Linked DNA regions of Macaca mulatta. The protein of the gene in region 2 purifies or fractionates together with the protein of the main gene of each other region. This does not show direct contact. Links are inferred from orthologs where the notes say so. Each region holds a gene or a part of one and is shown on either strand. Other genes may lie near its edges.

Region 1 (4,388 bases), on a different chromosome or scaffold from region 2:
CATACAGTAGAACTAGGGGGCTTAAATCTGGGTCTTTGTCCTGGTCTAAAACAAATTGTGACCTTGGACAGGTTATGGAACCTTTCTTGGCCTGAAAATAATTTTGTAATGAAGTTGCATTGCCTATGTGATTTGTATCTGTCCTTAGTGTAGATTAATAATTTAGATCTAAAAGTGGAATGTTTAGGACTAGGAATATTTGTTAGGAAAAAAGCATCCAAAAGCTTATATTTGGATAAATTCCACTTTTTTAAGCCCTGACTAGTTCCAAGGTTAAAACAAACCTCAGTGAGTATGAATCTGTTGTCAGAATTTCCTGGAAAAAGAGAGCAGTCTTTATTAAATAATTAGTAAATGATGTGAATTAGTTTGAGATTACCTATAGAAAAGAGAATAGTCCAAGCGTGGTCGCTCACACCCGTAATCCCAGCACTTTGAGAGGCCGAGGTGAGCGGATCACCTGAGGTCGAAAGTTCGAGACCAGTCTGACCAACATGGAGAAACCCCATCTCTGCTAAAAATACAAAAATTAGCCGGGCATGGTGGCGCATGCCTGTAATCCCAGCTACTTGGGAGGCTGAAGTAGGACAATCGCTTGAACCCAGGAGGCGGAGGATGTGGTGAGTCGGGATCGTGCCATTGCCTCCAGCCTGGGCAACAAGTGCGAAACGCCGTCTCCAAAAAAAAAAGAAAGAAAGAAAAGATAGAATAATGTTACCATCTGCGAGTCCTTGGTTGGGACACAGTGTCAATTTTGAAATGATTCAGAGTGGTTTGCACAGTGAATACCCAAGTGTGCTTTATAGTTTCCTTGGCTTTGACCCTGTGCTAGAGCATTACCTGTTCTTCTCCTCTGCATTGAAAGGAATATTTATCCTTTTAAATGTATTCTGAAAGCCAGCACATTATATTACCTCGTGTTCAAAGGTATGATGATCCAGAATACCCCTTCAGGAATTAACTGAACTTTGTCAGGAACTGTGGTTGTACCTACTTGATGCAAGTGTTAATGTGTGTTTATTGTAGGGCCTTCATCCCAGAATAATCACTGAAGGATTTGAAGCTGCAAAGGAAAAGGCCCTTCAGTTTTTGGAAGAAGTCAAAGTAAGCAGAGAGATGGACAGGGAAACACTTATAGATGTGGCCAGAACATCTCTTCGTACTAAAGTTCATGCTGAACTTGCAGATGTCTTAACAGAGGTATATATTAAATGTTGTCTGTGTCTGGTATAATACACCTATATAGAAAATCTCTGATAGTAGAAACATGAATATAATTCCCAATTTCAATTACAAGGTGCTGTATAGGTTCATTTTTGGGGCAATAATACCTAATTTGTGTCTCTAAAATGAGGAAATTCAAATAATAGTATATGTAACTGGGTTATAAAAGTAAAATTGAGGCTTTCATTAAAAGGTTTGTAAAGTGGAGATTTTGTTACTAGAAAGCTTCCAAGTTACCAGTATTTTTAATGAAACAGGAGAATTGTTAATGTTAATTAATGTTAATGTTTGGGAATTACAGATTGAGATTTCAGAAATGTAAATGGCTTCAGTTGTTGCTGTTTACATATATTCTGTTTGCTCATAGAAAAAGACTTAAATCAGTGTATAATTGTAAAATGAAACCTTCGGAAAAGCAAGATGTTTCTGCTGCTGCAAATTGAATTTACTTAATGGTTATGCTCCTCCAATTGCAGGCTGTAGTGGACTCCATTTTGGCCATTAAAAAACAAGATGAACCTATTGATCTCTTCATGATTGAGATCATGGAGATGAAACATAAATCTGAAACTGATACAAGGTAGGTGGTAGAATACTGTGAAATACTAATGATCAGGCATGGGGGCTTACTCCTGTAATCCCAGCACTTTGGGAGGCCGTGGCGGGCAAATCACCTGAGGTCAGGAGTTCAGACCAACCTGGCCAACATGGAGAAACCCCGTTTCTATTAAAATTACAAAAATTAGCTGGGTGTACCGGGCGTGGTGGCACGCGCCTGTAATCCCAGCTACTCGGGAGGCTGATGCAGCAGAATCGCTTGAATCTGGGAGGTGGAGGTTGCAGTGAGCTGAGATCACACCATTGCACTCCAGCCTGAGTGACAACAGTGAAACTCCGTCCCAAAAAAACAAAAAATAAACTGTGTTTAGAAATTTAGGGGTGCTTTGTACAATATATGGTTGGCTTTTTTTTTTTTTTTTCCTAAGACCGAGTCTCACTCTTGTGGCCCAGGCTGGAGTGCAGTGGCACAATCTCTGCTCAACTGCAAGCTCTGCCTTCCGGGTTCACGTCATTCTGCTCCAGCTTCCTGAGTAGCTGGGACTACAGGTGTCCGCCATCACGCCTGGCTAATTCTTTTTGTATTTTTAGTAGAGAAGGGGTTTCACCATGTTAGCCAGGACGGTCTTAATCTCCTGACCTCGTGATTCGCCTGCCTCGGCCTCCCAGAGTGCTGGGATTACAGGCGTGAAATCGTTGGCAATTTTTAAAATATCTTTGGGTATAAAATGTTGTATATTTACCTGAAGATGTAAGCTGGATAAATTGCTAGATGAATATTGTTTTTACTTTTAGTAATATTTTCTCCTGAAATAAGGTGAATGTAATGTTATATTTATGGTTAGAGTGATTCTGAAAAGTGAATGACATCAGTCATTTGGCATTTATTGATGTGCTAGGTACGAAGCATAATGAGAAGTAGTAGAGAAATTTAAAAAATTTTTTTCAAAGACTTAGAAAATGTTTGTGTTTTTCTTTTTTGTGTGTGTGTGTGGAGAATGGAGTCTCCCTATGTTGCCCGGGCTGGTTTTAAATTCCTGGGATTAAGGCATCCTCTCACTTCTGCCTCCCTAAGTGCTGGGATTACAGGCGCTTGGCAGAAAACATGTTTTTAAAGGACGTCATCACAGTTTGACAGCCTACTAGTGAGACTATCTCTGCAGACTTTTCTGTACAGCACGGGATCTTCAAGTAATTCAAGAAATAAGCTGGACACGGTGGCTCATGCTTGTAATCCCAGCACTTTAGGAGGCCGAGGCAGGCGGATCATGAGGTCAGGAGATTGAAACCATCCTGGCTAGGAGATTGAAACCCCGTCTCTACTGAAAATACAAAAAATATTAGCTGGGCATGGTGGTGGGCACCTGTAGTCCCAGCTACTCAGGAGGCTGAGGCAGGAGAATAGTGTGAACCCAGGAGGTGGAGCTTGCAGTGAGCCAAGACGACACCACTACCCTCCAGCCTGGGCGACAGAGCGAGACTCTGTCTCAAAAAAAAAAAAAAAAAGAAATGTGACTGCATGAAATATCAATACCTTCTTAGCTGAGTGTTTAACATATTATATACCCATGTGAAAATCAATAACCGTAATTTTGTGTGTTTTGAACAGCTTAATCAGAGGGCTTGTTTTGGACCATGGAGCACGGCATCCTGATATGAAGAAAAGGGTGGAGGATGCATATGTCCTCACTTGTAACGTATCATTAGAGTATGAAAAAACGTAAGTTTATAGCCCCTTAACAGTGAAATCGAGGAACTTCGTATTTTAGGGGAGTTATTTTTTGTGAAACTTTGTTTCCCACTGTAAGGACAATAATGCTCAAATTGGTTTGGGGGAGTTACAGGAAACAGTCTCTGAAAATGTATAAGGGACAGGATTCGAGCTTAGTGAACTGTTAAATCTTAGGACTAAACCAGTTTCAGAAGCTACTTTCTTAGAATGTTTCCCTGTTTTCTGTAACCTTTTTTTTTTTCTTAATAGAGAAGTGAGTTCTGGCTTTTTTTACAAAAGTGCAGAAGAGAGAGAAAAACTCGTAAAAGCTGAAAGAAAATTCATTGAAGATAAAGTTAAAAAAATAATGGAACTGAAAAGGAAAGTCTGTGGTGATTCAGATAAAGGATTTGTTGTTATTAATCAAAAGGTGAGAATGAAAACCCAATGTATAAACTAAATAGTATGTATCATCCTTTTTGCTTTTAAGGTGAAAGATGTTGAAATTAATTTTTATTTTTGTTATAGGGAATTGACCCCTTTTCCTTAGATGCTCTTTCAAAAGAAGGCATAGTCGCTCTGCGCAGAGCTAAAAGGAGAAATATGGAGAGGTATCCGAGTAATTTGACTTTTACTCATTTTGCAAGTGAATTAGGATTATTTTTCCTTACAATTTATTTTCGGGTTTTTCAACTGTACAATGAATTGTCGTTAACTATATTCACATTGTGCACCCCGTCAGCACTGTCCATCTCTAGGACTTTCTTCATCATCACAAACTGAAACTGTATACCCATTAAATAATTACTCCCCATTTCTCCCTCCCCCTTGCCCCTTGTAAACATTATTTTACTTTTTGTCTCTGAATTCAGTATACTTTTTCCCAAAGAGCTCA
Region 2 (4,861 bases):
ATCAGAGAAGTCATGCTGACTGAGGCACAGGCTTGGCGTGGGAAAAGTGGATTCCAATATGGTAACTTCTGAAGTTGTCCATGGCAAATATTTCTCTGACGGCAAAGGAAGAGATCCGAACCGGGATTCCCTCATCCATTGAAAAAGTATTAACAAGTATTTATGTATGCCTACGGTGCCAGGCCTTATTCTAACCACTGGGGCTGCAATACTTAAAAAGACAAAGTTGGATCCTCCAAGGATTGTGGTGGGGAAGGCTAACAAAATAACAAAAATATGTAACATTTTTTAAAAAGTGCAATAAAGTTACAAAGCCTAGCCCCAGCTCTGCTTGTTTCCCTAGCTGAAATGGAGGATGGCCGGGTGCGGTGGCTCACACCTGTAATCCCAGCACTTTGGGAGGCCCGAGGCAGGAGGATGGTTTGAGCCCAGGGGTTCGAAGTGACAGTGAGTTATGATAGCCCCACGGACTCCAGCCTGAGCGACAGAGAGAGACCCTGTCTCTAATTTAGGAAAAAGAAAGTTGCCGGGCGCGGTGGCTCAAGCCTGTAATCCCAGCACTTTGGGAGGCCGAGACGGGTGGATCACGAGGTCAGGAGATCGAGACCATCCTGGCTAACACGGTGAAACCCCGTCTCTACTAAAAAATGCAAAAAATTAGCCGGGCGAGGTGGTGGGCGCCTGTAGTCCCAGCTACTCGGGAGGCTGAGGCCGGAGAATGGCGTGAACCCGGAAGGCGGAGCTTGCAGTGAGCTGAGATCCGGCCACTGCACTCCAGCCTGGGCGACAGAGGAGACTCTGTCTCAAAAAAAAAAAAAAAAAAAAGTAAGTTGTGGCCGGGCGCGGTGCCTAACGGCTGTAATCCCAGCACTTTGGGAGGCGAAGGGGGGGCGGGGGCGGATCACCTGAGGTACGCAGTTCGAGACCAGTCTGACCAACAAGAAGAAACCACGTCTCTGTTAAAAATACAAAATTAGCCCGGCGTGGTGGCGCATGCCTGTAACCCCAGCTACTAAGGAGGTTGAGGCAGGAGGATTGCTTGAACCCGGGAGGCGGAGGTTGCGGTGAGCCGAGATCGTGCCATTGCACTCCCGCCTGGGCAAGAGCAAAACTCCGCCTCAAAAAGAAAGAAAGAAAGCTGTTAAAACATTTGTATAAAATGAAAGGGGAGGTGACTGTTCTAGGGTTTCTAACAGCCTCCACATCGCCCAGCAACAGAGCCCACAAAACTGCCCCTGGCCGCCACCGGGATCCTCCAGCTTCTTCCCCATCTGCGGTTGGGGAAGTGGTGCAGCGGTCGCTGCGAAGGAGGGAGAGGAGCGTGTATGACGCCACATCCGGCGCGCGGCGGAACTGGCTTCCCTTTGCTTCCGCGGCGGGGCCGGAAGTAGAAGCGGCGGCGGCGGTGGCTGCGGCCCAAAGCGGAGTGAAAGAGGGAGGCAGGGAGCCGGAGAGCCGGAACCGGAGTCGCAGCGGCGGTAATATTGCCAGACTCCTCTAAGTCACCGTCCTTAGCGCGGGACCGCGGGGTTCGACGGGAGTTAGCGGGGTTGCGGCCGCGCCGTGGGACGCTGGGGGGTCCTAAGGCCGATGTGAGGGGAGGCGGGGGTGGGGGAGCCGGGCCGGCTCTAGAATCGAGTTGTCCGCCCCGCGCCCCGCACGGACACTCTGATCCGCGGGCTCGTCTTGGCCTTTCCCAGGAGACCCCTGTGCGGTGCGGAGGGGGCGGCGGCCCCGACTCTGACCCGCGCCGGGGGTGGGCCATGGCGGAGATCAGCGACCTGGACCGGCAGATCGAGCAGCTGCGTCGCTGCGAGCTCATCAAGGAGAGCGAAGTCAAGGCCCTGTGCGCTAAAGCCAGGTGAGCCCATTGGCCCTGGGGAAGGGAGGCCAAGCCGCCGCCCACGGGTTCTGTCCTGGGGCAAACCCAACTGAGAACTTTGGGCTTGCCTCGCCCTGGAAGCTTTCCCAGAGAGGAGCAGGATGGAACCGCTGCCCTCGAGGAAAATCTAGCCTGCTCGGGGAAGACAGAGCGGATAAAGACACTTAAAGTATTAGACGATGTGTTTCCAGTAGAGTAAGAATGTTACGTAAAGTACTTAGGAAACTCAAGAAAACAAGTCCATCTGTCGGGGGTCGGAAGCTTGTTGGAGGGGGGCCGAACTGTGGGACAGTCCTCGAATAAGGAGGTGGTAAAAGAGCCAAAAATCAAAGATTTAAGACAGGAAAGTTAAAGACCCTGTGATTTATAAAAGTCCTTTAATTACAACAACCCTTAAAGGTTGGTGGTATTGTACTCATTTTACAGGTGAGAACTTTCATGTTAAAAGTTACCCACAAGTAGGGAATGAGGATCGGAAGCCAGCTCTTAGTGTCCCGTCCTTTTTCAGGCCATAATGCAAAAAGGTGTGGAGTTGGATTACTCACGTTCAGGGTGGGAGCCTGAGAAATCGTAGCAAGTAAGCTAGGGTAAAATTAAGCATGATAGGGAGGGAGGCCAGTTCAGAGTTCTGTGGGAAGTAGGATGAAGCAGTGGTTAAGGCTCTGGGTTTTGCAGTGTGAGATGGCTCTAGGTTTGAATCTGAACTCTGCCACTTTCTAGCTGTGTTAGTGATCTTAAGGTGTCTTTATTTGTAAAGCGGAGTTAATAGTACTTAATAAGATGGTTGTGAAGGTTCAGTGAGTTGGTGCTTGAGATGAGGTTAGCACAGTGTCTTGGTACAGCATACGTGCTTGATAATCACCAGGTATTCTATTTCTCTTGGAAGAGGGCAATAATGAGATGGGTTAAAGCCATCAGGGAAGGCTTTTGAGTGGAGGTAGGCCTTGAAGGATGAAGATAATTTGGCTAGCTGATGGAGGCAGGGCCAGTGAGGGAAGGGCATTCCAAGCAGAACGAATGTAACAGTGGAGGCCCTGAGATGTATGGGGAACAGTCAGGGGTTTAATTATTACCTGCCTCCTCTGGGGCACTGTGTGATTGTGGCTTCTACCAGGCTGGAGAATTGTGGCAGAAGAACCCGCAGAATTACCCTATGTTTATTGAACAATAAACATTGGCCTTTATAGGGCCACTGTTGGCCTGGCCCTGTACTGGTAAAAAAACTTTTGTCCATCTCTTCCCCCCAGCAATCCTGTGAGGTTGGAATCATTTGTTCCATTTTATCACACAGGAAGCCATGACTTGTAGAGGTCTGGTGACTTGACTGAGGTCACCCACTGAGGACGTGGCAGAGCTGGGTCCTGAATCTGTGGCCCTCAGGCTCTTTGCTTGGCCCTGCCTCACATAGACTCCCTGCAGCCAGACAGGGCCTGTGAGGGGATGTTGAGCAGGGTCGGCCTCTTTTTCACCACCTGTCTGTGGCTTTTCTCTTTTGCCAGCTCAAGAAAATGTCCCTGACCAGACTAGCCCCACGGTGTTTTTAGTTTTTCCCTCTCCCTCAGTCCTGATTGGCATTTTTAGGAACTTATACCTGTTATTGCGTGGCTCTGTTCTTTAACCCTGAAGTCTTATCTCCGTCACAGGCCCTGAATCAGCGTGGTGGTGATGGTAGGCAAAGCTTGGATAGCATGCTGGAGTTTGCAGACTAGCAGGAAGTTATGTATTCAGTCTCCATGGCTCCTTGCAACAGCCTAAGGAATAGGCAGGGCGGGCTGAGTATTTAGCCCCATTTCATAGCAGAGGAAACTGAGCCTCTGAGTAGATAATGTCTTGTCCAACTCACGCAGCTAGTCGGAGGGGAAGTTAGTTTTGCATCCAGGTCTTTGACTGTGCTCCGTGGTCACTGAGAACCAGGCAGAGGCATTTAGGTTTTGATGTGTGGTGTGAGGCAGCAGGGAGCCATGGAAGACTGAGGGGTGGAGGGTCCTGCCCAGTTGAAACTGAGTGAAACTAGGAGGTACTAGGCCAAGGCTCAGTCTGAAGCAGGGCCAGCTCTGATACCTGGTTATGGCCTCCTGGGGACCCAACAGAGACCCAGGCTGAGGCTGGTAGTGTCAAGAGCACCAGCTTGCCCAGAGGGCACAGAGATGCAGGTGAAACCCGTGGAAACACAGAGGTCCGCAGTGTCTGAGCTGAAATTGCTGCTCCTAGAAATACTAGCACAGAAGAGCTGAGCTTTTGAATCAGGTGGTCTTCAGTATGAATCTTTGCCTTGTCACCTAGAAACAATATGACCCTTGTCAAGTCACTTTCTGATTTTTTGAAATGATAATGACATGCAGTTGAGAGTCCGGGTATCTGGGCACAGGGCCTGCTGCGCTGGTAGCTGTTACTGCAGGCAGGTCATGATAGGGCTGGTGAAGTACTGCAAGTGACAGAACTGGGGCTGGAATCTGGGCCTGATTCCCAGACCATAATGGGGTCGTGCCGGCACTGAGGGGTGCTTTTCCGAGAGCACGGGCCCTGCATGTGACCTCCCTGGGTTTCAGGTTTTCACTCAGGGTCTGTGGAAGGGGCTGGCATAAATTCTTAGGAAATTGGGCTTCTGGGTTCCAATTTAGCCACTCTCCAGCTTGGTAACCTTGACCCTGCCGCTTCAGTTTCTTTTTTTCTTTTTTTTTTTTTTTTTTTTTTTTTTTTTGAGACGGAGTTTCGCTCTTGTCGCCCAGGCTAGAGTGCGATGGTGCGATCTTGGCTCACTGCAACCTCCGCCTCCCAGGTTCAAGTGATTCTCCTACATCAGCCTCCTGAGTAGCTGGGTTTACAGGCACACACCACCATGCCCAGCTAATTTTTGTATTTTTAGTAGAGACGGGGTTTCACCATGTTGGCCAGGACGGTCTCAATCTCTTGACCTCATGATCCACCCACCTTGGCTTCCCAAAGTGCTGGGATTACAGGCGTGAGCCACCGTGCCCA

The links.
Region 1: the proteins of PPP4C (region 2) and CCT6A purify together in Homo sapiens (affinity purification with mass spectrometry; 5 studies listed by BioGRID and IntAct, with this or other methods). This does not show direct contact. The link is inferred for Macaca mulatta from reciprocal best matches to the Homo sapiens genes PPP4C and CCT6A.

What each region holds. Positions count from the first base shown.
Region 1 is NC_133408.1:72,124,427-72,128,814, forward strand, and holds part of CCT6A (T-complex protein 1 subunit zeta), read left to right. Parts: intron 1-774; exon of another isoform or gene 775-908; intron 909-1,026; coding exon 1,027-1,200; intron 1,201-1,700; coding exon 1,701-1,804; intron 1,805-3,391; coding exon 3,392-3,502; intron 3,503-3,763; coding exon 3,764-3,923; intron 3,924-4,021; coding exon 4,022-4,104; intron 4,105-4,388. UniProt on the Homo sapiens protein: Component of the chaperonin-containing T-complex (TRiC), a molecular chaperone complex that assists the folding of actin, tubulin and other proteins upon ATP hydrolysis.
Region 2 is NC_133425.1:28,484,817-28,489,677, reverse strand, and holds the start of PPP4C (serine/threonine-protein phosphatase 4 catalytic subunit), read left to right. Parts: upstream 1-1,439; 5' UTR 1,440-1,478; intron 1,479-1,700; 5' UTR 1,701-1,763; coding exon 1,764-1,861; intron 1,862-4,861. UniProt on the Homo sapiens protein: Protein phosphatase that is involved in many processes such as microtubule organization at centrosomes, maturation of spliceosomal snRNPs, apoptosis, DNA repair, tumor necrosis factor (TNF)-alpha signaling, activation of c-Jun N-terminal kinase MAPK8, regulation of histone acetylation, DNA damage checkpoint signaling, NF-kappa-B activation and cell migration.